Linked DNA regions of Nothobranchius furzeri. The protein of the gene in region 2 interacts with the protein of the main gene of each other region in a pairwise test. Links are inferred from orthologs where the notes say so. Each region holds a gene or a part of one and is shown on either strand. Other genes may lie near its edges. The genes, in order: mxd4, mlx and mxd1.

Region 1 (10,707 bases), on a different chromosome or scaffold from region 2:
GAATCTAATCTCTGTGATAATGACAGCTAAACGTTTTGATCTTTGACGTTGGACGGATAAGAGGTTTGGTGGAGGAAAAGATCAAAACGCTCAGAGAAAGGCCTTCATGTGGCTCGGAGCTGATGTACAGTTAAATGTTTCATAAGAAAAGCAAAAGTACAATAAATTTAAAGAAGATTCAACCGTTGCAAACTGGATATAATAAAAAAAACTGAACTCAACCATGCAGAGGTATGTGCATGCGTTTCAGAACAGCGATGCGTGAACGCTTCCTGTGTTTCTGCACAAACCTGACGTGAAACATGATCAGATTTTTATTAAAAAAGACTAAATGAGTCAGACATGCTGTGGCTTCAATAATCCCCACTGGTGAGTGACAAACAGAGTCAAGGTCAAAGGTTACAGAAGAGTGCGCTTCACCCCGTTCACAGCGAGACAGACGTTACACAGACGGTGGAAGTTCAAGTCCTCTTCAGGAGAGCTCAGACAAACAAAGGTGCTTCCTAAAGAAAACGATGAGACGGCCCGCTGCCATTGTCTGCTCCAACAGAAACCCTTTCAGGAACCCATCCAGCTGATTCGTTTAGCCTCACGCTCATTAAACCTCACAGAGCGAGGGCGTGTTTCAAAACAACGTTGGAATCATGTCAGCGGCTCGGAGGAAGAAGAAATGAGCTCAATATGATTTATTTCTTTATAATACACACATAAGTTTAGCATCTTGTTGTGAACACAATCTGGAACATCTGATGATTTATGACCCAGTAAAGATCAGCCTTTTCCTATTTAACACGGTCTCCAGTAGGAATGAATGCCTTGCAAGTTGTTCTCTGGGGAAAACAAAGCTCCGGTGCACCTGCTTAAAGATGTAGAAGTCCGCTGGGGGAGAAAGTGACTTAAGATGGCCGGATTTGGAGTCTTATTTCCTGATGTTTGGACATCTTGCCTCTGATTGGCTAAACCCAACTGGACTCTACCACTGACTCTTTTTGTTTTGCAATGTTGATGTTTTAACTCCACAAATAACACAGGCCTGAAAGATTTATGCTGTGTGGTGGATGCTAACGGTTAGCTTCAACTACTCAAGACGTTCCCTGCTGTTTCCTGACGTTAAACCAACAACAGCGATTTTCGGCGTGATCCAAGATGAGTGAGTCCATGAGTGTTAAATGACACAGTGACGTAGATCTGTCAGGATTTTCTGAACCGAGTGTCTTTTTTCCATCAGATGCTAATGCAGGAAACAGGGGCAGAACACTACTTAAGCATTCAACTTGCACGTTAAACTTAGAGTCACTGATCTTTTTCAAAGATGATGAGTAAAACAAAATGTTTGTCAGTGAACCTGCCCTTTAAAACAATCCATTGCCACCTGCCAGTAAAGCAGACCTTACAAATGCATCTCCATATCAAGCTACTCTCTCATATTTCACTTCTGTTTTGTGCCCTTTGGCTTTCCTACACAACTTACAGACCTGACTTGTGTGTTTGTGACACTAAATGTGAATTGTAAAGTAGGGATGCAACGATAAGAAATTTTGGGCCGATACTGATATCTGATATCATAGTATACCAAGACCACCGGGTACCGGAACAGTTTCTTCCCAACAGCTGTCAGACTCCTGAACTCTGCCTCCTGACATAAGACCCACGTTAAACTCATGGACTGCTTGTATTAACTACAGCCTGTAGATACTTATAGTCATAGCATATTCATAACATACTTCATACCGTGTGCATTATAACATACGTAATAGATCCATTCTGTAATATACTTACACATCTACATTATTGCTAATATATATTGTAATACATCTATATCACGGCTAAAGCACTTCTGGATGGATGCAAACTGCATTTCGTTGCCCTGTACCTGTACATGTGCAATGACAATAAAGTTTAATTCTATTCTATATTAATATTGCAGTTATCGGCGATAAAAGATATTTCCTGAAATATACACATTTATATTTATTTTGGGAAATATCTGTTATCGTCCATAACAGCAAGCATGACTTGCTTTCTCTCTATAAAATGACCAACACTGACCTATACCGATATGTTAAAAAATGACTAACATCGGCCAATACCGATAATGATGCCAATGTACCGTGCATCCCTAATATAAAGACTAAATTGCTCAGAAAGAGGCGAGTATCTAGCCAATTAGACGCAGAATCGTGATGAAAGAACAAATTTGTGCAGATGTCATTCACTAAATACGTCTGAAATAGGGCTGCACAATATATCGTAAATATGTCATTATCACGATATCAGCATGCAAAATATGCATATCGCAAAGAACAGATCAATATCGAAATGAATGGTCAGCTCAAATGTTTGCTAAACATAATGCATTCTGTCGATCAAACAGGAGGATGTTTTAACTAATCAAATAGAGCTCTTCACCCGTTTGGCCAATTGGGTGTGTTCTCATAAGTTAGATGCCCGCCCCCGAGGCGGACGGCCCTTCATTCTGATGGGTAGCAAACACCTGACTCAGCTTTGTTCTGCTGATTCTGCTGATCCCGGGATCCGCTGATTGCCTTTTCTTGTTCATTTTCTTTTTCCCTTTCTTCACATCTTTTGCTTTTCTCATTTTTATGATTTGTTTATTTCTTTGTTTTTGATTATTTTTGTTCCCGAGTTAAGTTTTTCTTTATCGCAAGTAATATCATCGCAATATTAATCATTGTTATTTAAAATCGCAGGTTTTCCTAATATCGTGCTGCCCTAGTCTGCAACTCTTTTTTTTTTTTTGGAAACTGATGTGAGAAAGGTTTGAGACCGGTTCCAGACACCTGCAAATCCAAAATTCTCACAAACACTTCTGTATTTTGAGCCTGATGTTTTGAAATTCTTCCCAGTTCTGCACGTCCAGGAAGAGCAAAAATAGTCTTGGGTGAGAGCTGAATGTGTGACGCCGCACAACAGCCCTCCTCCAGGAAAAACAGCCCTGCTGCTGCACGCTGGCCGGGCGGCAGCAGAGAGGACAGAATAAAAACACTCTCAGACGTCTGGAGGCTCAGACGCTCAGCAGAATTCCTCAGCGTGTGGGCTATTCCGAGGACAGCCCCTATTATGACACGCTGTCCGCCTGAAACAGGCCCTCCGTTCATGAGACCGTCATGGATACCACGGCAATAAAAACAAAAACAGGAACAACAAAGAGCCAGACGGACAACAAGCCTTTTCAGACTCTCCGCTGTTTGAGAGCTCTTGTGCTGGCGAAGCAGTGGTTTTCCCACAGCTGCGCCGAGGAAAAGGGCCCCAGCATCTGAGGGACAACGCTGTTTTACAGCGGCACAAAAATCACCCTGGAAGGAACGCAGAATTTCACACCGCCCATGAGCTAAAACGGAGCTCAGCTCCATCATGAAGAAAGTTGGTATTCAAACTAGCACAAGCAGGGGACATGTCACAGTCGAAGCACAAGGCACGACCAGGAAACCATCCAGAGGAAGGGAATCCGCACGGATCCACGGCAACGCGAGGTGAACACACACCTCTGCCTGTTATGTAAAGGATCATTATGTGACATGCAAAACAAAAGAGGAAAGGCCAGAGGAAAAGGAACTAATTGAGGAGAAACTCAGCAGCATCTTTACTAGCGGTTTTATTTTTTTATTCCATTTATTTTGAAGCAAACAGCAACTGCGTTCCAAGTCATTTTAGTGTCAGGAAAGCTGCAGATTTTAGCATCAAAATGACTCTTTGAGAAAAAGTTCTAGTTATAAAAAAGAAAACCTGAGTTAAAGTATGAGAAAACGTTTTTCCTTCACCGTCCGTCACCACTAACCTCAAGCATCCTGTCCATGTCTACAAAAAAAGCTGCAGGTAAACACAAATAGGGTTGTGATGTTTGCCAACAGGCTGGTCACGAAAACACCAGGAAGAAAATAAATCAAGTGGGTGGGTGTTTGCCCCGTGGCACAGGTGTGTGTTTTGGCCACCACGCCCTGCGGGCACATCCACACACACACACACACACACTCGTATGTAATAAACAAACATATCCCCTTGTTAGAGTGAAAAACGAACGTGGAAAGTGCTGCGTTCTTATTTAGGACGACCCTTTTCACTTCTACACCCACCGTCCTCCCACCTCCTACCTGGTTAAGCCAACGTCATTCACGCTCAAACTGTTTTCCTCTGAATCACCGGGTCATTTGATGTACAGAGAGGATCCATACGGCACACCTGGACTAGATCAGCCTGAATGGGAGCTTGCGTGTAACCTCGGATAGGATGCCTGCTCAGGGCGCGTCTCACACCATCCATTCGTGACACAGAAACGGGACGGTCCACCTATTGTCTCAATTCTGTTTTTAGCAATTACAGTGAATTAAAAGTGAGTCAAAAGGTGAGTAAAATATCGCGCCACATCTATTTTGAGTAAATTGTGCAGTTTATCAAATCTAGATTAGGTGTTTTTTTAAATAAAACATAAATTAAGTAGGGGCCAGCTCACACTGGCAAGTTATGATTTCAAAGAATCAACAGAAACATGAATCAGGTTGAAAATGTTACAAAAACATATAAAACCTAAATGTAACAGTTCTAAATAGAGATTAACCTAGATGGCTTTTTCTAATGCTGATACCGATATGTAGAAATCAAGATGAGCCGATGGCCGATATGTGCTGCCGATTTTTGTGGCCAAAATCTAGTTGTTCTCCACCGTGTCTGCATGCTAAAATGTCACCATTAAAAGTGGAAGCACAACATTTCTGAACGTGATCAGTCTTGAATGTCAGAATCGAACCAGCTCTTGGATCTTGATTTTGTACACGGCGCAGTATAAGAACCAACATTTACCCAAAGGTAATCAAACAAATCGACGAACGGATCAAGTAATAAATACAAAAAATACGGTAAACATAAAGAAACGTCAGTTGAACATTGACTAAGCAGATGTTTTCAAGAACGTAAACGTACATTCAAATAAAACCCTGCGGCAGCACCAGACTGCCCAAGAATGTGCCCGACTTTAAATCGGCATTACTAAAGCGGTTTATCGGCAGATGTGACGTATCAAAAATGGTAAATATCGTCTCGATCTATCGGTCTATCCCAAGTTCAATGTTTTAAAGTTTCAAGTGACTGCGTGTGTTTCCCTGGCGATAGGGGGCGGTACTTGCCTAAATCGTTGCAAGCATCTGATATTTTTGTGTTCGAGTGAGACCTTACCAATGGATAGCCATTAGGGTCAAAAATCCCTGGGAGCACAACCTCCAGCAAAATGACAAACACATCATACTCCCTTTCATCACAGGCAACGAGTGAAGAGGTAAATGTGTAAAACAACATTTATGAACGGCGAAAGTTTTAAAAACCGTTTGTGACAAATAAGTAGATGTGTTTTGTCTTCACGAGCTCCCAAAGACAGAGGTGTCTAAAATGGCGTTGCCCAGAAACTTAGACCCACCACCGTGTATTTTCAGACTAGATTGTCATGGTTATGTTACAAAGCTGCCAATATTTTTCAACATTGAATTCTTTTTCCACTACGTTTGGATGGATATTTCTAGAGATAAACAGTAAAAACTACACATTGTCTCTTTAAAAGAGTAGATAAAAGCTGTTGATGTTTAACAGGTCCAGCAGGTCTGAAATCAGAAAACCAAAACTGAAACCTGCTCTTTATGTTACGTAATGACGTGGCTCCTCAATATCCGCCTGTAATGGGCAGAAGCAGCAGGTCCGTGAAAGCCTCACGGGTGAGAAGCTGCTGTTTTGATCGAGCAACAATGAGGCCTTCATGGTCTCTCTGGGTGTGTGGGGAAAAGGGATTGCAGTTTCTGAAATGCGAACCCCTTCTCTTTGTTTCATCTTCTGCAGGACTTGCATTTAGCAACAAGACACCAAACAAAACACCACATGAAGAAATAAAATAAAAAATGACATTTAGGGCTTTCAAGTAGGCGTAAGCTTAGTTTAGAATGGTAAAGTGTGTGTGTGTGTGTGTGTGTGTGTGTGTGTGTGTGTGTGTGTGTGTGTGTGTGTGTGTGTGTGTGTGTGTGTGTGTGTGTGTGTGTGTGTGTGCCCCTCCTCTTGGCATGGGGAGGCTAACAGCAACAGAAACTGAGCAGAGGCAGCAGAGTTGACAGTGTACGCGTGGCACTGTTGATTGGAGAGACCAAAACACCGATCCCAGACCAGCTCAGACACCAAAGCACTTTATGTACTACTGCATATGTGTAAGTGTCTGCATATAGGAGGGTTTGCACGAGCTGTCACGAGTGTAAACACACAAAGAATGGGGTGAATTTTACCTGTTGTTCGGAGATTTTCTGGAAATTGTCGTAGGTTTTGTTTTCTTTCGGGAATAGTCGTTGCTGTAGGGTAAAACCGACGCATAGCCGTGCTCTGCCTCTGTTGACACAAAGCAAAAATAAATCACAAGGGGGGAAATAAACTGATAAATAAATAAGCCATAAAAGCGGGGAAAGTGAGTGAATAAATAGGAAATACATCAAGGCTAAACAACCACATTTTTCAGATATTTTATAAGGCATATTAAAAGCACAAAAAACGTGTGTTTAGAAAAAAATAAATCTACCCAAAAAAGAAAAACGTAGAATATATATATAAAAAATTTAATCTGTGATTATTCTGAAGCATAAAGCTGCTGAGTCCAGGATGTACCCATCGCCTGGTCTGTGCCCCACTGAAAGGGAAAAGTGACATCATACCTGCACTGTGGATGTTGTTAAACCCCAAACATCAACTCAAACCCCTTCCTCCTAAACCCAACAGCTACAGAAAATAATCTATAAACGCTGTCAGCCCAGCTTTACCTTTACCTCTGTCTCGTCTCTCCAAATACTCTGCAGCCTCCAGCAGAATTAAAAGAGAATTAAGTTCCATCTTCTTTGATGTCTCGTCATAAAAATAGAAAAATCTATTTACACAAATAAACAATTCATAGGATAATGGAATGAAAATGTAAAAAATAAACTGTTTCAGAGCGATGTATGTGCGCTGCTACGTTCACTTCTGAGTCTTAGCGACTCCAAACTACAATAAAGCTCCTGAACTCAGGAAGTTGAGTGATCGTGACTTTATCCAATCAGAAAAGGCTCTCCGCCGGTCCCAGGTGTGTCCTCACCAATGAAGCTCTTTGCTGCTATTTGATTGGCTAAACTGTCTGAAGTCATTGGGGACATGCCCTAGCAACAGCTTCAGCGCCACACCTATCTTGAAGCTGATTGGTTTTACACATGAAGGACGCATATGATTGGCTGGAAGCGACTCTGGGCGTGCATTTTCTTGAACTTGGGGTGGTTTGGTTGCCAAATGAGATAAAGTTCCCAAAGTATGGTGTTTTTTTTTCTTTTCATTCTAGTGGTGAAGTAAACTGCACTCTTTCAGTCAACAAGACGTCTGGTCCTATTTCTCATAGGAGCGTGTGGTATAACAGACCTGCTAGCATGCGGTGTTCGTGTTTTGGTGCTCATTTCCTGTCCATGTCATTATGAAAGTCCTGCTAGAAACTGAGATGAGAATTTCTGATGTGAAGATACAATATGGCAACACACTCGTTAGCTTGGTATTAAGAAATACACAGTAAAGAAAGTTGAAAATGATGTAGTTTATTTAAGCACCTGTCAAGTGTAATAATAACTAGAGCTAATCAAGTGTGTACTTCAAAATAAAAGGCTTTTAAATGTATTTTCACAATTAAACAATTTTATAAACACCATATATCTACATTTAAAGAGACAAAATGAAGATTCTAAGAGTTTGGCAGAATGTGCTAAATTATGGCCATTATTTTTAGATTATATATATATATTTTTTTATACTAAATTTCAATGTTTAATTAGATTAGAAATTGTGAAATGACATGAATAGCAAAGGCTGAATCTCGAAGGATGACCTAAACATTTTGTTGAATGCCATCCATTTTATTGCAAATCCACCCCCCTTCAATCTAAATTCATTGATCTCATCCAAATGAAGTTCAGATCGTGTGACTGGTCTGGAGTCTGTAATTGCGGCTGTGGATCCAGAACTTGAGGTTCATTTGAAAGTGGGATGACCCATCATGTCCAGCGCCAAGTGAGCTTGGGCAGAGTGTCAAAGCTGCTGAAGCATAGGAAGAGTTATGAGTAGCTCAACAGGGGCGTGCAAATGTGGTTTGTTGTGCATGGCAGGCAGTTTGTAATGCTAGCAGCCAGATGTTTGCTGGACTGCATTCTGAAGGCATCACATTGAGGAAATGACTTTCAATGCAAATGATGAGAAAAAGGACCCCGAAGACCAGTAACATAATTAATGTTTGTGTTGTGCTTACTTTGGGGTCTTTTACCACAGACAGAATTATTTCAAATGTGGCTGTCGGTTTTGTTAAAGTCAGCAAATTTACAGGTGTGATGAGCAGACTGGATGAGGACCAAAAATGTGTGAAGCTGAAGCCACACCAACAACTAATTTATAGCAATGCTTTGCAGACTTTTATGAAAATCCTGTTGATGATCGTGTTGTTAAATGTTAACTTTTATATAAATACAGTAACTCAGCTTTCAGTAGAAATGCTTTCAGTCCATTCAACCCTGCAGTCATCGGATGCGGGTGATTTTTGATCTAAAATCAAGCTGGTGTTTGGTTCACCGATTTCAAGTCATAATGCATTAACCCCATTCTGCTGCGAGTCAAGCACTTTCATATCTGTCTGTATTTTGCATGACTTAAGTTCAGTGTAACAACAACACTGAATTACACTCATGAGCTATTTGAAGGTTTTATTGCAACATAATGCAAAGTGCTGTAATACATGTGATGCTGTAATATTTAGCTCTTGTTGGGCTAGCTTGCGAGTGAGAGAAATATTCCTCTCATGCATGTTCAGCTTGTCTATCTGATGACGTATTCAACTAGGGCTGATGTTATTCACCCTTCTGCCTTTGTAGTGGTGTAAAAACGCAATAAATGAAACACCAGATCATCCTCACAACCCCCTTGTTTCACATTGTGCCGCTATTGTGGAGTCATAGTGAGAATTTAGTTGCTCATGCTGTAAAATGCTATTGTTTCACAACAGCTAAGCTGCAGCATGCATTTCTTCTAGTTGAGCCGGATATCATATTAAAGCCATACATCATAACTGTCCTTTCAGCGTAATTACAGAAAAGTTGTGAAACGTGAACCCTTTTTATCATGAGCCCACATCTGTGGGGATATTGGTTTAAGAAGCCACATGGAGACGGACTCTTTTGAGCCGTGTGTTCTCCGTGTTCTTCATTTGTTCGCCAGTGCCGTAGAGAAAAGAGCGTTTTTACGTAGGCAAACATTTATCAGCCTGACTTCTGTATTAGAAGTCCCGTTTCTACTCCTGCTGAAGCTGACTTCAGTGGAAAGATGTGTTTTTTTGCCACTTGCTAAATAATGTGCACCAAAACTCTAACTGGTTCTAAACCTGACATTTGTTGTTCAATACACAGCACGTTCTCTTGGTGGTGCTTTGCATTTATTTTTGCTGCATTTTTAAAATTTGGAACATCTCCCACCATTGAGTAGAAGATGAAAAATCTCAATTTTGATGAAATGTGTTTAGGATTTTTTTCATATCGCAATTAAACAAGATCTCATACTTTTGACATGGATTTAGCTGGTGCGTTGCAGTCAAATGTTTACATCATTTGAAAGGAAATAGCTTTTGTCCCTCCTGTTTCATTTTTCTATTTATAGACTTATCATCTGCATGCACTCTGTTCAGAGTGGCTCAGGCCTCGTCCACCACATCGCCTCAGGCCCGTGCATCCAAATGCTTTCTGTTCTTTTCTTTTCTTTTCTTTTGTCTGTCGTCCATCTAATGCAAACAAGGTGACACACGCCACAAACTGCTCCCAACAGTTATCAGATCTCCTCTGATGAGACGAGTATTACCACAGTTTGATAAATGTAGGTCATAAAATCAACACTGGGGGGCTTTTATGCATGTTTGGTATTTATTCAAATGTTAAAATATTTTCAAAGACTAAATTGACATTTTTATGTTTCCACATGAGCAATTAAATACTACAGCATATTGTAGGTTTTTAGTCAGCAGTGAAACTGGAAACAGCTTTGTTGTTAATTTCAACCTCTTCATCCTTTTCTCTTTTTGACTTTGATAGCATCAGGCCATCAAGAGTCACGTTACATACCACTTTTACTCTTTAGTCATTTTGACTTTAGGAAAACTCACAATAACTGAACAGTTATTTTAATAAAAGGTGCTCAAATATTGAATATTGAGAGGATCAAATTGGATTTCATGTCCATTTCTAAGTACATATTATTTTTTTACTTTTTTTTGTACTAATATGCTCTTTTCAACCAGGTAAGAATTAATTTATATAATTGGTGCATAATAAAAGCACAATTCTGTTGAGTATTTATATTGAAGCATCTCGGTTTAAGAGCCTAGCACAAAGATCATAATCTTTATGTTGAGAAAAGATGGCATTACAATCAATTTGTTAAATCTTGAAAAAAAGCAACATGTGCAATCTCACAAAAACTATCAAGGCTTTACATGAACTTTTAGCAGTTAGGGTTTGTGCCTGAAATAACTTGTGATACCAAATTCAACCCCAGTACGAGACAAACTGGCTGAGGTAAAGCCACTTTTATATTTTGGCAGCCATCTCTAATTTGGATGGGTCAAAGCTGTCATTCACTCATTCAATCTGCAGTGGTCAGTGATATAAATGCGAGTTG
Region 2 (10,623 bases):
CACCACAGTCACAGACGAGGCACGGTAGGAAAACAACCCGCTGTCACAGAGTAGTGGAACTATCATTGCGCAGCCCAGAAAACTTCACCAAGGGAGGTATCTTGACCAGATGCCCGAGCCACCTCAATTGGCTCCTCTTGATGTGGAGGAGCAGCGGATCTACTCTGATCCCCTCCCAGATGACCAAGCTTCTCCCTCTATCTTTAAGGGAGAGCTCAGACACCCAGCAGAGAAAACTCTCAAATTTCAGCCGCTTGTATCCGCGATCTTGTTCTCTCGGTCACTACCCAAAGCTTGTGACCATAGGTGAGGGTAGGAACGTAGATTGATCGGTAAATCGAGAGCTTTTCCTTCTGGCTCAGCTCTCTCTTCACCACGACAGATCTGTACAACGCTTGCATCACTGCAGACGCAGCACCAATCCACCTATTGATCTCGTGCTCCCTCTTTCCTTCTCTCGTGAACAAGAGCCTAAAATACTTAAACTCCTCCACTTGGGGCAGGACCACATCCCTGACCCAGAAAAGGCATTCTACCCTTTTCTGAATCAAGACCATGGTCTCAGATTTAGAGGATCTGATTCTCATCCCAGCTGCTTCACATTTGGCTGTGAACCGCTCCAGTGAAAGCCGGAAATCACGTTATGAAGCCAACAAGACCACATCATCTGCAAATCCACCAATCTGCTCCTCTACCTCTATATGGGCGTTCCTCAAGGGTCGATACTGGGCCAAAACTTATTCAAAATCTATATTAATAACATTGTTCATGCTGTTGACAGTGCTCATATACATTTAGATGCAGATGACACAATTTTATATGCATGCAGTTCTACCTTGAATGCAGCTCTGTCCTCCTTGCAACACAACTTTAATTGTCTTCAACATGCCTTCTCCAACCTTCATCTCCATTTAAACACAAGTAAAACAAAGTCCAGGATCTTCAACTGTAACTTACTGCAATCAACTTGCCACCCTATTGTTTCCCTGGATGGTACAACAGAACTACAGCTTGTCAGTTCTTATAAGTATCTGGGTACCTGGCTTGACAGACACTTTCATTTGACATTTATATGAATTCATTACTTTCTGAAGTCAAGTCAAGAATTAGGTTTCTATACCACAACATCCTTCACTCCCTCTGCAGAGCAATCCTTGGTCTGAATGACAATCCTTTCCATCTTAGATTACGGTGACATCATTTATAGGACTGCTTCCAAAAAACGTCTTCATAAACTCGATGTCATTTATCACTTAGTAGTCCGTCTCGTCACTGGTGACTCTTTTACTACTCATCATTGTTATCTGTACTCTCTCGTTAACTAGACATCACTCCATTCCTGCAGGTTGTTACATTGGTATCAGTTTATATACAAAACAATCATCGGTAGAACCGCATCATATCATCAGTCGTTACTCATCACATCCAACAACCAGTGTAATTTACGTTCCAGTAGCTTAATCTCCATGGTTATTCCCAAAGCTTGCACCTCCTTTAGCCTCTCCTCATTCCAGTTTTCTGCTCCCAACGACTGGAATGAGCTGCAAACATCATTGAAGCTCACTGCCTACATTTCATTATCTACCTTCAACAAGTCATTGCAATCAAAGTTTCTGATGAATGTTCCTGCTTCTGAGTTCTTAAAGACTGTTATAAAGCGACAGTGTGTATTTTTCCTGGCGATAGCGGGCAGTACATACCTAAATGAATGTAAGCAGACATTACTTTTGTGTTCAAGTAAGACCTTACCAACGGATGGCCATTTGGATCAAAAATCCCTGAGAGCACATCCTCCAGCAAAACAAGAACATCAAATTGTCTTTCATCACTGGCAATGGGTGAAGAGGTAAATGTGTAAAACAATGTTTGTGTATGGTGAAAGTTTTCTTACCATTTGTTACAAATCAGTAAATGTGTTTTGTCCTCGCGGGCTTCTGTAGAAGGAAACATGGCATCCAATATGGCATCGCCCAGAGACTTAGACCCACTCCCATGTATTTTAGAATGAATTCTATGGTTATATGTTATGAAACACCAATATTTTTGAACAACTGGGCATCTTTTAAATCATTTACAACAACATTTCGATTGATTTTTCCAGAGATTAATGGTAAAAACTACACATTGTCACTTTAAGTCTGTTTTTATTGCTTGTGTATTATATATGAGAACAGTCCTTTGTCTTTATGTCTAAGTGTTTTATTTTATTTTTATCTTGTATGTTTTTATCTTATCCTTTTTTTTCTTTGACGTAAAGCTAACTATTTGTCTATTGCTGTTGCCTCTTGGCCCGATAGTCATTGTATGACAATGAGTTCTCCATCGACTCATCTGGTTAAATAAAGGTTAAATAAATAAAATATACCTAATGTGTTAAATGTACCTAATCATTAGGTAAATATTACACATTAGGTCTTAAAGTATTAAATATACTTAAGGCATCACATCGTTTTTCCTCTACAAAGCGTGACAGAACCAGATGTAGGTGTGATCTTGTGGTGCAGACGTCCCTCACTAATGGGAAAAAGGCTGGTTCTGGTTCACGGATCGTTTTGTACCAGGTCACATGGAAGGCGTGTGAAAAATCTTTTAAAAATATACACATGTGAGTTTGATTGGGTTGTTATTATTGATCTGCAGGATGTTTTGTTTAGGTTACAGTGTGATGACCATAGAAGTGAATTGCATAATGATGACATTTGTCTCATATGTTTAGTGATTGACTGTTGTTTTGAGCTCTTTATCATGCTGCTATGATGTCATGTGTGACTACACCCCAACCCCTTCTAACCAGCGGAAATGCTGCGTCATTAAAAACAGATCCAAAATGCAAAAGAAGCTGGAGATCAGTAATGTGATCTTGTGTGATATTTGATTTGGGCAACAGTGTGTGACTGCAGGACAGTCGAGCATCTGATCTTATATCTCAAAAAAAAAATTAAGTCCTAAAAATGAGCAGCTCTGCAAAAAAACAGACATCCTCTTTATGTTTGCATCATCTTGTTGATCTCATGCAAATGAGCCAAATCAGAACTTGGACCTAGACTTTCTCTGCATGACCCTTTAAAGAGAATGATGTTGTTATCTTTATTCATGTTGTTTCCCACATCTAGCCCTTCTGGGGCGTTTCAGGACAAACTGTGAGTTTGTTTTGGTTTTGATGAAACTGACAAATAAATAAATAATGAAATTAAAGGGTGATCTTTTGTTTCAAACATTCAGCTTTTGTTTGTTACTAGAATAAACAAAGATAAATATTGAAGTAAATCTAAATAAAAGAACATTTTTGTTTCCTGACAAAGAAAAGCTGCAGGAGTTCTGCTTTTGTAGACTGCTGGGAGGATGGTGAAACACTTGCTTTCCGGTCTTTCGCTCTTTCTTATAAATATGTTGCTCAACTTCCCCTTGAGCCCAGCTACACATGCATGCACTAATCTCCCTTCTCCTTACCTTGCCTTTTGAAATATTAGTTTAAAAAAAAAACACAATTGCTACCAAATAAAACTTTTAAACACCTGTTAAAAAACAGCCACATCATGTCTGGGATTTACTTGGTTAAAGCTGATTTTGGCAGCTGAATAGTAAAAATGGAGATTAGGCAGTCGCAACAATTGTTGCTTTTTCTTTTATTTATTTACATTTTTTTCTTTGCCTCTACGTCATCATTACCTGTGTGATTCCTGGAGTTCCTACTATAACATCTAATGGATTTCATGTGCAGCAAAAGAGTGAAACTCACCAGCACTGCCTTGAAGCGCTCCTCCAGCTCCTCCTCTGGGGGCATGGGAAGTTTTGGGGGAGCCGGCTGCTTCTTCTGCGGAGTTAGCGTGGGGTCACTCATTGTTGAAGCTGCCCCGACGGAGTTCCTGGCCTCTCTGCCCTCAGTCGGCTCATGCTCCGAGCCCCCTACAGCCACATTCCCCATCACTAATCTCCAAATGTAATCCAGGAGGAAAGCTGTACACAAACCCCTTCACCTAAAACAGAACCAATGTACTCCAAAGCAGAGTGACCAAAGCTGACCACTCCAAATGACAAGAAGCAAGTCTGAAACCGTCAAGGTGAGGAACTCCAAACTCTAATTCAAGGAATCCTCCTTTGTCCTGAGGAAAGGGTGGATGGTGAAAAAACAAGGTATGCATTCATGTTTGTCTCCTCATTAACATCTCTTGTCTACAGGTTTCTGTCAAAGTCAAACTCTTTGTTAGGGTCTGCTACGAGAAATACTCAATGCACCTACGTCGCACCACACTGGCTGACTGAGAACTCCTCTGCTTGCTGAAGAGGCCAGTATGTGAGAGGAAGGAGAATGTGACACACTCTGTCACACAGACAGAAACCACAGAAGCACAAAAGCAGAAGAGTAACTTCCTGTGTGTGACTGCAACAAAAACCTGGTGTTCAAGACAAGGTGAAAGATAACTGTCAGCACTTGATACAGAGCCCAACATGAAAAAAAAACTAACACAAGACTAAAAAAGCTGGGTGGTTTATGTTTAACAAATATTAATTAAAAATACCTTTGCCCTGAACCCAGAGTTTCTTGAGAGTAGCCGCTGCCAGATGTATGTTAGTCACATCTGTTTGGGTGTCTGATGATCTCAGGTCATGTCAATAAGGTAAAGACAGGTTTATACCATCAAACCAGGTAAAACAGCGTCCTCGTGCGTTCGAGGCTAGTTACTGCGTGTAGTTATGCTGCGTTTGAGGTCTCATGGCTGTTATCAGAAACTTATGTATCTAAATTTTGTAATTCAACAATATCAAATACTTTTTCGAGACAATATATGATAACATTTATTTATTTATTTATTTATTGTTACAGTTATTTTCAAGCACTCTCAATAACGTAGGAGTTTCATTTGTGTACTTTCTAAACCAGTTTGTTGCTAATATTAATAAACAGTTGATGGCTTGTGTCTGTGTTGCAACAACAGAAGTAAACGTGTTCAGCTTTTGAAACAATATTTTTGTCTCTGTGCTTTTAGTCCTCTAAGACTAGAAGAGAAAATAGGAATTCCCGGGTCACGTGAAGGCAGCAGCACTATTAGTTTTTTAGCGTTTCAAAATGACGGACCCAGAGGAACACTGGAAAGTAAGTCACAAAACCCAACTTTTTCAGCCCTTGGTTCGTATCTTTGCGTTTGTGAGTGTGGAGTAGAATGTGATCAACTGTTTTCTCAACGCTAAAGTTGGAACATGGCTTCAAAAGCTAGCTAACATTAGCTTGGTGACGTATTGTAGCAGTTAGCCAGCATGCTAGTTAAGTAAACAAAGCCTTGAAAACGGAATTGTTTTTCCATATCAAATGAAGTCGTTTAAAACATATATTTACATGCACAAACAGCCAAGGAAATATGGTTATTTAGAACTTTTTGGCGTATTCTTAAAATTAGTCTGAAAATACTTTTTGGGTGACAACAGCAGCTGTATACAAACTAATATGTTAATAATAAAATATAAAAAAAGGCACTGTGTATTTTTTCTTGTAAGTTGTTTAATAGTCGATTAACAGTATTTTAAATCATTTTTATCTTCAACCTTCAGAGCAATGTTTATACAGGACTAATCCTCACATGTCTGATTCTTTATTTGCTGAAGACTGACGAGGCCTTTGAGGAGTTTCTCCCCCAGAATCAGGAGGAAATCTAGGCTAACATACATAACTACATAAATAAAAACACGGACTGTTGTGTTGTGCTGCACTACATCAAACAGCAGATCTGTGATTGAAGCAATTTTATCTTCTGTTCTTGAATTGGACAAATCAGGACAGTGCTCAGTGGGGTTTGGATTGGCTTGCTGTTTGTGTTTTGTCGACATATTTAGGGCAGCACACATTTCCCCTCCTCAACCCAATCTCACAGCTTCTGGTTTCCTTTTTCTTCTTCTTGGTGATGGCTGGACAGACAGACGGGGCTTTCAGTGACAGTGGGTTTGACACAAGTGAGTCATTTTTACTTTTCTAATGAATGCTTTTTCATTTTCACATAGCACATGATTAATTAAATCATTTTTGTTAATGGTGGGTTTATTTTTAACCCTTTTTATAAAATCTGGGTTGTTTTCCAGGTTTCTTTGCTGAAACTGCTAGAAAGGGAAGCATTGTTTCCAGAGCCAACAGTATCGGCTCAACCAGTGCCTCTTCAGTACCAAATACAGGTATCGTGTTTAAAACACAGATGATTTTATCTTGCTGATAGTTTATAAGTGTGAACGTGCCTTTTGACTACTCCTTATCCTTAAAGAAAAGGTTGAAACAACAAATCACAGAGATGGTGCCTTTATTTATTTTGTTTCCTGTCTCACATTCAAACACAAACCTGTCTGGTGAGTCTTGATGGTATTTCGTCTCATGCTTTAAAATCTAGTCTGGGAAGGTGAACTTGCCATATTTAATAAATAAACTCTCTATGTTCTACCTTTTTGCATTTGCTAAAAATCCGTCTATAATTTGACCGGACTGAAGCAAACATATATTTGCTGCTGAAACAGAAACAGCCCTGTGTTATATTGTAGAAGGAGCCAACACAAAAATGATGCAAGTTTTCATTCGATTTTAAGATTTACAAAATTAAAAACATCCGTCCATTTTTTCTCATTTTAAACTTGATTTAAATAATTTCTGTTTTTAAACTGACACCAGATATGTAAGCAAGAAAATAATTGCAAATGAGTTCATTGAGAGTACAGATGTCAGAGGCTTGTTCCCAAACAGATGATGAAGACAGCGATTACAGGCACGAGACGTCATTTAAAGACTCCTTTAAAGATCGCCGGAGACAAGCACACACTCAAGCTGAGCAAAAGCGCAGAGATGCAATCAAGGTAGGACTTCAGGACTCCAACTGACACACTTTATAAGAGTTAGATTTAAAATTCTGGCTGTTTAAGAGTTAATATTGATTTCTATGTGTCATTAGAAAGGCTATGGTGACCTGCAGTCCATCGTTCCTACGTGCCAGCAGCAGTCTGAGTTTGCAGTTGGAGCCCAGAAGATCAGCAAGGCTACTGTTCTGCAGAAAAGTAGGAACCTTTTGCAATTTGAACATTTTTACACTGAACTGTTGGTAGAAAAAAAGAACTCTGTACAAACAATAATAAAACCTTTTAGTTATTTTAAAATGTGCAGGTTATGCGTGAGACATGATGAATAGCCCTCCCTGCTGCTGTTCTTCAACTTTATTAGCCATAAAATAACAAATCAGACACTGTTAATAGGCTGAGCAGTTTGCATATATTTAAAGTAAACCTCCAGCCGCTGCCTGGGGAGGCTCCGACTCGATCTCTTGATCAGGAATCATTCGGAATCAGGTGGGAAAGGACGTGACCTTTTACATTCATCCTTATACAAATTTTTAAACTGAATAACAATGGCTTAGGTTGAATTTGAACAAGTTCTGCTACGTCAATATTCTTTGTTTCATAGAGAGAAACGTCACAAAATTTACAGACGTGGAGTTCAGACACTATAACATGTAGCTGTTAGCTAGCAGGCTAACACAGAGCTAACGTGTCGCCGTCAAGATGGTTGCAAACGTCGGGTCTCCTGGAGCCGCGGTGAGTTTCCTTCTCGTCACACGCAGCTCTGCAGGTGTTGAGCAGAGAAAAGTGAGTCTGCCGACCGTGCACATCATGCCATGCACATCACTCAGCACGGCGACGAGGCACCTTATCTGTTATTAATAATATATTCATATTATTAACATACTTTTAATCAATTCACTTCTTGAACGAGTGATTTATTTGGCAAATAAATTAAGGAAATGACAAAAATACCAGAAGAAATAAAGATGAATAATAAAGAGGAGAACTTGGATGTATTCTTTTTTCTTATTTTAATTGCGTTGCTGAAGTATCGGATCGGGACACGGTATCAGCACATACTCGCAATCACATGACTGGGATCAGGAGAACATAAACGTTCTTGTTTAAACAAATGCTCATTTACAAAATGGAGAAGTTGTAACGACACCCCCACGTTTAAACTTCCGGTGTTGTAAAGAAGTCGCTGGTTGATGCTTTTCTGTATTTTATGGCTTTAGCTATCGACTACATCCATTTTCTTCACAAAGAAAAGAAGAAGCAAGAGGAGGAAGTTTCCATCCTGAGGAAAGAAGTGATGGCGCTTAAGATAATGAAAACGTAAGACGGGTTTTTATTGGACTATCTTTCTACCTGAGACTTGTGTAAACACATCCCAGTCCTGTCTGACCAGTGGTGTGGAGGACACATTAGGACCTCAGAAGTGACGAGCATGGACGGGGGCAAATGAGACTGATCCTCTAGGTCTGATCTGAGGCTTAAAGTGACAGTGTGTATTTTTCCTGGCGATAGGGGGCAGTAGATACCTGAATTGTTGCAATCAAGCTGTATTTTTGTGTTGGGAGTAAGACCTTACCAACAGATGCCCATTAGGGTCAAAAAGCCCTGGGGAGTGCAGACTTCAGCAAAATGACAAGCACATCAGACTCCCTTTCATCAGTGACAATGAGTAAAGAGGTAAACGTGTAAAACAACGTTTATGAACGGTGAAGTTTTAGTAAGCACTTGTTACAAATCAGTAATTGCATTTTGCCCTCAAGGGCTCCTGTAGCAGCCAGGAAACATGGCGTCTAATACGACTTAGACCCGCTCCCATGTAATGTAGACTGGACTTTTATGGTTACATGTTAAGAATCTGCCAATATTTTTCAACAACTGGGCACCATTTAATTTATTTTCAACAACATTTCGATGGATATTTCCAGAGATTAACGATAAAAACGGCACATTGTCCCTTTAAATACCTAGAAGTGTTAAAGGCAGTAAGGAAATTCAGTGGAACCATCTGGGATATTAAGAAAGGCAGGGTTTGTGGTGTTGTTCTGAACCTGCTGTCTTTCCCAACAGGAACTATGAGCACATAGTGAAGGCCCACCAGAACAACCCGCAGCAGGGAGAAGATCAGGTGTCTGACCAGGTCAAATTCAACCTTTTTCAGAACATCATGGACTCCCTGTTTGTGTCCTTCAGCAACTCGGTTTCAGTGAGCAGCTTCCAGGAACTGTCAGCCTGTGTTTTCAGCTGGATCGAGGAGCACTGCAAGCCACAGGTAAGGAACGCCACCGGCGCGTCCTTCTCAGCAAACCAGATCGCTCAGCTGAGATAATTTAGTGCTTTTTCTGCTCTGCCTCAGACGCTGCAGGAGTCTGTTGTCGGCGTGCTCCGGCAGCTCAACGGCCAGCTTTATTGATCGAGGAGAAGCCTCCGGCTAACTTCCAGAAAATGACTTTTGACTTGCTCTTGCCTCTCTGGATGGAGCAAACCCTTCAGGCCGTGCAGTATTCGCACGCGTCAGCCCATCGGTGACTCTGCGCCTGCGTGTTGATTACCTCATCGTGTTTTCTTAGCAGGAATTTAAAAAAAGCTGCCTTCAGCCACTTTCTGACCGTGTTTACATTCCCATAGAGCTGAGTGTAAAACACGAGAAAATTTCAACTTATGCTTTCAAACAGAAAAATGTTAGCACACATTTTAGCCTCATCGCTACAAAAATCTGACTTATTCCATTTATTTATACATGTGGTCCTTTTTTCCGGCGCAGCACGTCTGCCATTCCTGTCAACGGTCACTGCTCCAACGCTGAACGCAGCTTCTGTGGCGCCTCAGAGAAACACACTGGTGGTTTTAAAGTCCTCTGCCTTCAGTGTGGCGGTAAATAAATGGTTAGTTCCAAGAATGAGGCGGATAAATGTTGTAAATATGCCACAGGTCTCCAACAGGCTTTAGTGTTTAGTCACAGTTTAGCTGCAGGTGACCTGTCAAAAAGGTTCATTTAGCAGGTGTTGATTTTAATGAGCCTTCTTTGAATTTCAGCCCGATTTTAAATGCTGTCGTGTTTTCATGATCCGTGACGTCGCTCTGTGCTACAGTGAAAGCAGAAACTCTAAAATGCATCAGTTTGTTTTTTTTATTCCAAACCTCTGACTCTAGATTCTCTAGGATCAGCAGCAGATTTGAACGTTTTGTTCTTGTGGACATGATCTGCTGCGGAAGTCTGGCTCGTTTCATGTTCTAATATTTTTCTGTTTGAAATGTTTAAAAGGTTACGCACAGATAAAAACACACAGCCACTAAAGTCTCTCTAGTTTTTCCCGTAACGTCAAAACTGCACTCTTCCCTCTGCCCTGTTGTGTATATGTTCAGTGGACTGCTGCTGATGCTGTTTTGATGACATCGCATGGTGGCCGGTGGTGAATTAATCACCATCAGGAGAGAAACTTCAATTTATGGACTTAATATTTTATTTGCATACGAGAACATAAAGTGCAAAACCAACAGCAGAAAAGGGCAGGATCGTAGTTTTGTAGTGGTGACCAGCGAATGAGCCCAAAGCAGTTTTGGCAGTATTAACAACTGTGAAAATGTTGATTTAGAAACAGCTGAACAGTTCACTCTATATAATAATGTATGCAGCAAACTATCTGAAGCCTGTTAGAGGTTTGAATCATTTGCTGACTTTCTATGTAAGCTCAGGATAATGAAGATGCTTTAAAGGGGAGAAAACACCACAGTTGCCTTTAGGGTCACAATCAGCCCTCGATGCAGTAGCTACATGTAGTCTAGCCAATAAGAATGCTA
Region 3 (10,383 bases), on a different chromosome or scaffold from region 2:
GTGCGTGCGTGCGTGCGTGTGTGTGTGTGTGTGTCACTGAAGGTGCCAGTGTACTTGCCTGTGCAGGGCACACAGCCAGCAGTGACATAACAGCGCTGGCAGACAACAGATCCTACGTGTTCAGGCTCGAGTTCTGGCTCTGGAGTGTGTTGTCTCCTGCTCTAATCTCACATCCACCTGGCCACCATCACACTCCAGCTCATCTGATGTCAGGGCAAGTTGTGGAAGAAAGGAGTTCTGCATTCACAACCCTAACCTGAGCTGTAATCTGTCCTAATCCGGGTTTTTTTTCGTGTCACTGATAGTTTGGTCACTGACCACGCCTGAACCCATCACAAACTAAACAAATGGTCTTGTGCTAAACTGTAAAAGTTTTTAAACTTGTATTCTCTTGTTCTAACACACGTGTTTCCTCTGCATCCATGTAAAACGGCAGTGAGGTGATAGCTTCACACGGTACATTACCTGGTAAATGGGGAAAAGCAGTAGATGTAAAGGTGCTTTTTAATTCTGGCCTTAATAACGTCACATACGGAGCACACATACTCTTCACCTGCAAGTTTTAACAGATTCTGGAGATCACTGAGCAGGCTTGTTCATCTCTATGTCCTAAATGGGAGAAAACCGGACTGGTCACACTGGACTGTTCCAGAACCATTCCTGTCATTTGGCTCAGGGAGATCCTTCCAGATGATCCTTAATTAACCCCATAATCCTGAACTATACATGAAGATGGACATAGACAACTATGTTCACCAAGATACTCTGAAGCAACATGCACAACTGGCAGGGGGTGTCTTCTTTCTTTGTGTTTGGATTGAAGGTGCTGGTTCTCTCTGCTGAATACCAAATGCTGGAGGAATCGGAGAGCACAGAAACATGGAGGAGAGGAGGATGGAGGAAGAGAAATGGTAGGAGTGCTACAGAGAGAGAAGAAGATGAAGGGGAACCACCACTACTCACACATGTGTGTGCAGCAGAGAGATCCCCTCCCCCTCTATTCACACATTCAAGTGTCAGGAAGCAGCAGAGAATTTACATCCAATGGCTCCGATACACAGATAAACATGGCAGCTCAGCATTTTACGAACTAAAGATATATAACCTGCTATTGATTCACCCTTTCATCCAGATGAAGATTCATTCATTCATTTATTCATCAGTGTTGCTGGTCTGCCTATTTATTAATTATTTGACCAAAGCAGAACATTCAGACTACAAGCATGGCTGCCATCCTCTAAAGGCGCTCACAGACAATGACAAAGTCATGTCAACTTAAAAAACACTCAATGGGCCAAAGCGAGAAACGCCAGTTGGTCCCATCAGTATATTAATACGATCCCAGTTAAATGCATGTTCACGTCTCCATGTGCGACTCGTCTCTTACCAAACATGGTGGCAACAAACCCGTCACCATCGTGACTGATGTAATGTTGGTGGACGGCGTGCAAACACTACAGTTTTGACAAATACAGCCCCACTTCAGATAAACAGGAAGCTGTGCCAGACCTTGTGTCCACAGTCATCATTATAACCAGAGCTTTAACCCTAACCCTTCAAGTCACTCAAATACGGGACAGAAGCATCGGTGATGCTTTTATATCGCTGCATAGATTCATGGTTTTTTGTATTGAAATCAGAAAAATACAAAAGAACTAAACCACTACACGTTACTAATGCTCAGTGTTATGGTTACGCTTGAGAATTAATCCTCCGTTTAAACACCCGGCAGCTTATCGGTCTGCAGTTCCTGGGTTTCGACAACGAGAGCACCAGTGAAGTTCACCCTTTACTATGAACAGGGTTATTTACTGGTGAGCGAGGAGGACCCCAACAAGGTTTCTCTGCAGCTGACGAGTTGAGCATTGGCAGAGACAGCAGGTTCTCCTGCTGCGCCTCCTCGTTGCCAGAGTCAGCACTTGAACACACCTGAAACAGGAGACTCGGCTGCTAGCTCAAACATCTCGTGATCTTTACGTGAACACATGACTTAAAAGAAGTTAGTCTATACATCACAATGTAAACTAACGCAGCTGTAACAGAAGCACTGTGTGAATAAAGTTGGTTCACTTGTTTTTAAACAACACAGCTTAGCCTAAAAACTCTTGTGCTACAAATTAAACAAACCCCTAGATGGTTGGGGATGAGGTCCTGACCCAAGTGGAGGGGTTTATGTGTCTCTGGAGGTTACGTTCACGAGTCAGGGAAGGATGGAGCGTGAGATCAACAGACGGATCGGTGCTTGAAACCTGGTGATGCAGGCATTGTACTGATCTGTCGCAGTGAAGAGAGCTGAGCCAGACGCCAAAGCTTCGATTTACCAGTTGATCTACGTTCCTACCCTCTCTTATGGCCACATGCTCTGGGTAGTGACAGAAAGAACACGATCACAAATACAAGCAGCCGGCTGGGCTGGGCTCTCCCTTAGAGATAGGGTGAGAAGCCTGGTCTGGGAGGGGCTCGGAGTAGATCCGCTGCTCCTCCACATCAAGAGGAGCCAGTTGAGGTGGCTCGGGCATCTAGTTAGGATGCCTCCCTGGTGAGGTTTCCGGGCACGTCCAACTGGGAGGAGACCTAAAGGAAGACCCAAGACACACTGGAGGGACTATGTCTTTAAACTGACCAGGGAATGCCTTAGCTCCTTTTAGAAGATACACTGTGCCAGAAAATCAGCATACTACTGCTGGACAGTGTGTCTTATGAACACGCCATGGCAGCATGGCACTGAAGGAATTTGGCGACATTCATTCCACCATGCTTGGTAGTAATCTTACCGCAACACCGGACTAGTGATGCAGATTTCACCTTGGCACAACAAAGGGAGGTGTCATGATAACATGGGAAGTTACTGCAGAGCTCCGGCCGGCAACTATATTGTAACAGAAAGTAAACACGAGCCGTAAGTTTTGCTTTTGTAAATAGAATCAGCTGAGATGATAACCTGGAGCGTCGCGGAGCTCCAGGAGCTTCTCTCCGTTAGAGCTGGAGCTCCGATCACCAGAGACAGCACGGGGACTGTGGGGGACAGAAACCTTTATGATTGGCTTGTGAGCGTGGCAGCTCAGAGACCGCCCCCATATCCCCTTTATACTTATACTGCCGTTGTGTAATCTTTTGCAAAAAGGACACAGTTGCACAACACTATCACCACGGTCTGACCGCTTATAAACGACCTACAGATCCTTGATGCTGCCATGGCGTTGGGGCAAATAAGCGCCATTCTTTTCCAAAAGAGGCTCTTGGGATTCCCCTGGAGGAGCTGGCCCAGGTAGCTAGAGGGAGGGAAGCCGGGGCCTCTTTTCTTAGGCTGCTGCCCCCACGACCTGACTCCGGATAAGCAGAGAAAATGGATGGGTGGACTTGGACTGTCTATGCCTGTGTTTAAAGTAGAAGTAGTATTTCCACCATTAACCAAACAAGCTAACGCTCACACATCAGAGTGCCGACTAAAACGACTCTTCTGGTTTCAAGCTCTGGATACACAAACATCCATAAAGGTGAGTGGCTTCACCAGGACCAGCCTCCCAGTAAAATGTCTCGTTCAGTCACCTTGGCTGACCCACTTCGCCTCCGCCAGTGGCCACTGACTTTCAACCAAACTGATATTTGATGCTGTCAGTCACTCAATTTACAGAACACAACACAAAGTCTAAAAATAATATTCACACAACACACAGTCACTCACACAGATCACATTAGACCTTTCTGGTGTCAGACAGGAAACGGCACCAAAACAAAACAAAACGCAATAAATAAGGAAGTTTCAACAGAGCCAAGCACCAAGAAACACTCAGGCCATGAGGATAGGTCTTCTTCTCTTTTCAAATATTACATGTTACATAAAATATGTGCCAAAATAATAGAATCTGGTTAAGGTAGTAGCTCTATCATTTAAAATATGCTCTTTTGTTTAACTGAAGTGAAATAAAGTGGGCAGAATTATTGCTAGTTTTTAATGAGCCACAGAAAGCATTTAGAAAACTGGAGTTCAGACGACTTCAAATTCAACTCAAGGCTAATGATTAACAGTCAGATCCACTGCATCCAATATGAGGAAGTGTTAATCATGTTAGTATGTAACCTGACTAAATGAGTTCCCATCAGAAGATAAACTGCATTTACCTGATGACTGCCTGGGCCGCTTTAACACGATAAAAGCTGAACTTAAGATAAAACAGAGCTGTAAGTTCTCGTGTTAATGCAACTCAATAATAGAGCATTTACTGGGTCTTCTGCTGTCTGTGAAATCGGATGAAAGCCTTGGTTATTCTTTAAACGTGATAGGAGTCAACCCTTTAACCCAAGCGTCCTGGCTGTGTGCAGCACCCCCCCAGGTTTTCAATTCAACAAGCTGAGTATGCCTTTACCTGCTACTTGTGTTTTTCTTGCTTTTGCTTTTCCTTTTCAAGCTTTCCCTCTCTCTGCTGCTGATGAAGGGTGGCATGGAGGCATAGCCGTGTTCAGCTTCTGCAAGCAAATAAACAACAGTGGTCACATGTCCTGTTATCTGCAAACATAGCCAGGGTGGGAGACACGAGATGTTGCACACATCCCCATCTGCATCATCTTACATCCAATGTGTTATGCTGGGATGCATGCATGGAATGAACGGATTTAATAATGCAGTATCTTTAAACAGTGCCCCCCCACCCACCCTCACAGCTTGGACAATGATGTCATCCTGAACTACGATAAACCCTACCAGCAAACCACAACAGAAGGAAAGGAGGAGCTTGCAACTAAACATTGTGTTCCTATATTTTTAATAGCATTTGCATGATTTCTCCTTTCATAAAAGATGCACAATGCACGTTAATCACTGCACCATTCATATTTTATAAATCCTATTTATTGTCATCATCATAGTCAACGATGAACACCTGGGTTAAGAACAGGATGTGCAACTTAAGAATATAAAACCTATTTGCCGGACGCATAAAGAGCCCGATCAGCGTGATAATGGGCAGACATGAACGAAGTGGGAATGTGTTGTTTTTTAACAGCATAGAATTAGAATTAAAATATACTTTACCTCGTTCCCTGCGATCGAGGTACTCTGCTGCTTCGATCAACATCTGCACCATTTCGATCGACGCCATTTTCAACAATAACACTAATAATATTACAATAATCCAACGAGGGATTCCGTTACTGTAGTCACGCTTCTATTTCTGAACTCTTGGGTTCCCTGTTGTTCTCACTTATTGTTCTAAAATGTTGTTTTCGAGTTGCTTCTGCAGGATTTCAATCAATCGATTTTTAAAATAAAAGGTCCCGATAAAAGACGTGGAAAGCGAAACTGGTTTCTCCTATATAAAAAAACAGCTTTAAAGGCTTGGTGGTAGCCTTTTAGCCACGGTAGACGCTAACACTTCCCCACAGCTAAGATTATACCTTTAAACCATTTGATTTGGGTGACTTAGTATCACTGGTTAGACGAATCTCTCTTCAAGAAATACAGATGGCTGTTGATAAAAACGAAACAAAAAATCGATAGTATTTTCTGACTAGTTTTAGGAATAACAACAAAAAGTTGGCAAACGTTAGCGACTGACTACAAACGACTTTAGGTTCAAGTCATCAGCCAAAAAACAAAAAGATGCTGTTAGGCTGGACGCACTTGCCGGAAATCAGGAATATTTTAAAAAGATGAACTAATTCCTGGATTATCTTGACGATGCAATCCAGCCGTTTTGGTTCCAGACTTTTTGGCTAGCTGGTTATGTACTGGTTATCACTAAAAACGCGTGCCTCGTCTAGCTGAATGTAACGACTGACACAGAACGGCGGAAATTTGTCAAAGTGCATCCAAAATAGAGGCTTATGTGGATAGCAGCTCCCAACTGTACTGTAACACAAAGCCGCTGTGTGCTGTCACATGATTGGATGTTGACTATATCCACTCCAGCTTTTATTGGCTGTCTAAAACATCAATGACTCAAAGGGATCGACCCACACTGCAACTGATAACCGTCCACGCCATTTTGGTTCTTAAGTGAACTAGACCGATGTCTGTGGACTAGACAGTAAACAACTAGGGAGCCATAATGGACGGCTTTTCTCAATACTGAATTCACGTTCTGTGATTGGCTGTTTTCAGGTAAACTTGTCAGCTATTGGCTCCGATGCCCACGAGCTCACGAAAATGTCAACGTCCCTTTAACAGAAGCCACGCCTCCCTGCCATGCTGTTTCGTGGTGTACGGCTGTGATTGGCTCTCGTGGTGTTGTTTGCCTCACTTCTTCCTTCTACGATTGGTTTGATAGTCCCTTTACTTTTCCTATCACAACCTGCAATGTGCGCGCAAGCGCACTTTCACAAACTTTTTAATAGAAACTTTATTACTCACATACACACACATTAACTTGTTACTCTGTGAAAACATCTAGACTGAAATATCAACGCACGTACCAGCGCGCCGGGTGGACGGAGCTTACGCAGTGTTACGAGTCCAACACGCCCACCATAGTAGGTTTTATGCAGGAATCTATCTGAATAGAATTTATATGTATACATTTCTAGCAGTGCAATAATCTGCTCAATCAATCTGACTGACCTCCGTCGCCGCTCATCACTTCCGCCAGGTTCATTCGCCGGCACACTGAAAAGAAGCGGACCCGCATTCAAAAAAAGTACACAATGTTCCTGAATGCAATCAACGTGAAACGACGAAAAATATGTTAACAAAACAAACAAAAAAAAAAAAAAAAAAAAAAAGAAAGAAAAAAAGAAAAGAAAAGAAACCGAGACAACTCCTTTATCATTCTCGTGCAACGAAAAGTACCTTCCAGGTACTCTTATGCACCAAAAATCCAAACCCTAATAAAAAATAAATAAAAAATGCAAGAACATTTACAACACACACTTCTGTTGTTTGAAACTTCAATAAAGTTAAACTTTTATTTAATCTATCTTTAAAGCTCCGCTTTTGCATAGATGTGTGGGACTGTGAGATGCTGCAGTAATCTGACAAAAACTTTCACATTTACAGAAAACTCACAATATGTGAAGATCTTTTGACACATTTGAGTTTTCAACTGGACTAGTGGCTCCAGCCGATCTCAGGAACGACCCCAGGTATCTCTGTCCAGAGGAGACATTGGATTAGACGAAGCTCCCTGGTCTCTGGTACTAGTGACGACTCCTCAAATACATCAACACAAATTGACATGTTTGTGCAGATCTGGGCAGAAAAAGAAACACATGCTCTACATAATCAGCACACCATCAATTTCAAAGAGTTTATTTCCAACAACACGTAAAAAGCACAGCAACAAAAACTAAATAACTGAAGGAACAACTACATGTTGAGTGATAATATATACACAGAACTGCTGCATCACATTTAACAGCATGTAATCCATGTCCTCCCCTTGCTGGAAAAAGGAGGAAATGCAGCGTGACATTTTCAAGCGATGAAATCCAGCGGCCTGTTGAATCCTCCCTTTCTGTTCATGTACTGCCTGTAAAAACATTTAGAACAACAGTGCATCACAACTTCCCTCTCAACACTTGCAGATTACATCATCAAGAGTCAATAGGAGAGCAGGATTCTCTGCAGAGAGACACCTGCTGACGTGATTGGCTACTTTAATAGTGGTTGCTGCTTGTAATGCCAATTTCCCAACAGGATAAAACTTTGTTTATTAAAAATTAGCTGCTTCAACAATCATTTTAAAAGTCGCTCTGCTTAATGTGCTATGCACAAAATTCTCCATGACACCGCTAAACTTCAGTATTTGCAGGCTAACTTGATATTTTTCTCTGTGAACGTACCTGTACTTTCTCTTCATGCTAACGTTGATGGCAAATGCATTAACTGATCCATCTGTTTTCTTCCCCTGTGGGAAAACAATGTTCAATCACAAACAGAAATACATGCTGCAGATGCTATCCTGATGTGGTCTATTACATTTACAGTTCATCAATCAGCAAACGCTACTAGACAGTGGCTGATGGTGCACTTCCTGTCTTGTGTCGTTTTCTGAATGTCAAACAGTCTTAAAACTGCGAAGTATCAGCAAGCATGAAGCCGTCGTGGTGAATGGCCACAACTCAGGAACACAGCGCCACCTGGTGGCTGCATGCACACATTTTTCACTCACTTTAGAAGAATCAAATGAAGAAAATCCCATTAACTTCATCATTTCAATTTCCTCCTCCGTTTTGCCCTGCATGTCCTCTGCTGTAAAAACAGAAAGAATATCTGATTTAACTCATTGTTTAAAGACGTTTATAAATGTCCAGCAAACTGAACAAAGGATTTCTTTCTGAAAACAATCAGCAACACAAAACCTGAGATCTGGATGGGCTTTGAAGACTTGTCTTTCACTTCTTTGCGCTCATCATCACGTCTGTCCTTCTGTCTCATGGGAGACGACGAGGAAGAGCGGTGGCGCCTAGGGGGAGACCTGTCCAAAGAGCATAAAGACGGCTGCAGGACAAAGGATCACAACAACTGAGGAAGGAAACATTATTGTCTAAGAAAGGATAGAAGGGTTCATGTCTACAGGCTAAAACAGGAAAATGAGAATCTGGTGCAAAAGTCCATTCATGTCAGTAATCCAGCTCAGACTGAGAGACCATCTAAAGGCTCAGGAACCTTTTGCTGTTCTGGATTCATCAGCTGATCAGAGTGCGACAACTTGAGTCTAGAACATTGATCCTTTTCACAATATTCTAATCATCTGAGATTTTGAATGGGGGGTTTCATCAACAAATAAAGGCTGAAACATCTGGATTTGCATGGAATGACTGTCTCATAGATTAGTTTCACCTTTTAAGTTGAATTAGTGAGATTAACAAACTTTTGCTCCATATTCTAATCCTCTGAGTTTCACTTGTATGTGTGCATGTTGCTTTTTATCAGGGGGACAAAAACTCACCTTGAACGCCTCCTGTGTGGAGAACGTGAACGAGATCTGCGTCGGTCTCGCTCCCGATCTCTAGAGCGAGAGCGGTCCCTCTCCCTCCGCCTTCGCTCATGCTCACGTGAAGTAGAGCGAGATCGTCTTCTCTCTGATGCGTAGGTCATGAAATCAGAATGTTAACTAAATAACAAATGATGTCCCTTGCCAGTATAGTCATGTTGTAAAGGGGCAGCAGTAGCTCAGGTGGTAGAGCGGGTTGCCTCATGATCGGAGGGTCATGGGTTAGATTCCAGCTCCCGCCAGGGGTATCCTGCTGTTGTGTCCTTGGGCAAGACACTTCACCCAACTTGCCTGTGTTAGTGGTGGTCAGAGGGGCCGACGGCGCCAAATGGCAGCCTCGACTCGGTCAGACCGCCCCAGGGCAGCTGTGGCTACAAGTAGCTTACCATCACTAGCAGTGTGTGAATGTGAGAGTGTGTGAAAGCGTCTTTGGGTGTCTAGAAAAGCGCTATATAAGTTCAATGCATTATTATTAAATAAATTCTGTAGAACACACACACACACACACACACACACACACACACACACACACACACACACACACACACACACACACACACACACACACACACACACACACACACACACACACACACACATACACACACACACACAAGTATAAGGAAGACTAAATTACTGAAATACTTCAACAACTGATTTGATGCTAGTCCAACAAAAAGACTATTTTATGTCTTCATAACCACTTTTTACAGTTGAAGCCAAACGTCTGTGTCACTGATGCAGAACTAAGACAGATGTGGTCATTCAGTAACTTTAGATCAGTGGGGTCTGACCAGCGTCCACAGGGGTCCCTATCTTGAATGTCTGAGTTGCTCCACCACACCTGAGCCATTGCTTCTTTCACCTGTACTGCAGGCCTCAGGCTCTACAGAATGCATGTTGTGTTGGATCAGAGAAACGTCTAAATCATGCAGGATAGCTGCCACAGAGGACCAGCATTGGAAATCACTGCTCCAGATAGCTGGATGACTGGATTTTTCACACATCACTTCTGTGAAGGGGTGCAGCTGGAATCAAAAGGACTATTTTCTCCAGAGCATTTCTTTCCCATTTATCTCACTAATAACTGGTTTTCTTACATCTCCACAGTTGTCAGCAGGACTACCTTCGGAGCTCTTGCATGTGGAAATCCCCCCCCCCCCCCCCCACCACCACCACCACTCCTCCGAGTTCTCATTTTTACTCAACTTTATATGTTTAAGCAAATGATTGTTCACAAAAACTGTTCCAGTTATTTTACAATGTGTTAAATAAATTAAAATTTCAGCATCCTTCTGTGTTTTGTTGTTAGATTCTGGGTAAAAACTTAACTCTTATGAAAAGTACAGGTTTTGTTATTGAGATGCACAAAAAAACCACGTGTTGTAGCTATGAAGGTATAATGACTTTTGAACTATCTACACTACTTTTGAAAGGGGAAACTTTCCCTGAT

Evidence for each region.
Region 1: the proteins of mlx (region 2) and mxd4 interact in a two-hybrid assay, tested with the Homo sapiens proteins (2 studies listed by BioGRID). The link is inferred for Nothobranchius furzeri from reciprocal best matches to the Homo sapiens genes MLX and MXD4.
Region 3: the proteins of mlx (region 2) and mxd1 interact in a two-hybrid assay, tested with the Homo sapiens proteins (2 studies listed by BioGRID and IntAct). The link is inferred for Nothobranchius furzeri from reciprocal best matches to the Homo sapiens genes MLX and MXD1.

Annotation. Positions count from the first base shown.
Region 1 is NC_091746.1:81,010,952-81,021,658, forward strand, and holds the start of mxd4 (max dimerization protein 4), read right to left. Parts: upstream 7,076-10,707; 5' UTR 6,871-7,075; coding exon 6,807-6,870; intron 6,376-6,806; coding exon 6,276-6,375; intron 1-6,275. UniProt on the Homo sapiens protein: Transcriptional repressor. Binds with MAX to form a sequence-specific DNA-binding protein complex which recognizes the core sequence 5'-CAC[GA]TG-3'.
Region 2 is NC_091745.1:7,586,003-7,596,625, reverse strand, and holds mlx (max-like protein X), read left to right. Parts: upstream 1-4,995; 5' UTR 4,996-5,068; coding exon 5,069-5,095; intron 5,096-5,829; exon of another isoform or gene 5,830-5,897; coding exon of another isoform or gene 5,898-5,909; coding exon 5,910-5,946; intron 5,947-6,072; coding exon 6,073-6,162; intron 6,163-6,718; coding exon 6,719-6,828; intron 6,829-6,923; coding exon 6,924-7,026; intron 7,027-8,045; coding exon 8,046-8,145; intron 8,146-8,892; coding exon 8,893-9,094; intron 9,095-9,178; coding exon 9,179-9,235; 3' UTR 9,236-9,459; downstream 9,460-10,623. Other genes in the region: fmnl1a (formin-like protein 1), read right to left, coding at 3,740-3,925. UniProt on the Homo sapiens protein: Transcription regulator. Forms a sequence-specific DNA-binding protein complex with MAD1, MAD4, MNT, WBSCR14 and MLXIP which recognizes the core sequence 5'-CACGTG-3'. The TCFL4-MAD1, TCFL4-MAD4, TCFL4-WBSCR14 complexes are transcriptional repressors.
Region 3 is NC_091757.1:29,113,843-29,124,225, reverse strand, and holds the start of mxd1 (max dimerization protein 1), read right to left. Parts: upstream 7,142-10,383; 5' UTR 7,026-7,141; coding exon 7,001-7,025; intron 6,602-7,000; coding exon 6,557-6,601; intron 5,881-6,556; exon of another isoform or gene 5,100-5,880; coding exon of another isoform or gene 5,033-5,099; intron 4,630-5,032; exon of another isoform or gene 4,572-4,629; intron 4,468-4,571; coding exon 4,368-4,467; intron 1-4,367. Other genes in the region: snrnp27 (U4/U6.U5 small nuclear ribonucleoprotein 27 kDa protein), read right to left, coding at 7,409-7,463, 7,777-7,841, 8,106-8,185, 8,296-8,411, 8,886-9,018. UniProt on the Homo sapiens protein: Component of a transcriptional repressor complex together with MAX. In complex with MAX binds to the core DNA sequence 5'-CAC[GA]TG-3'. Antagonizes MYC transcriptional activity by competing with MYC for MAX binding.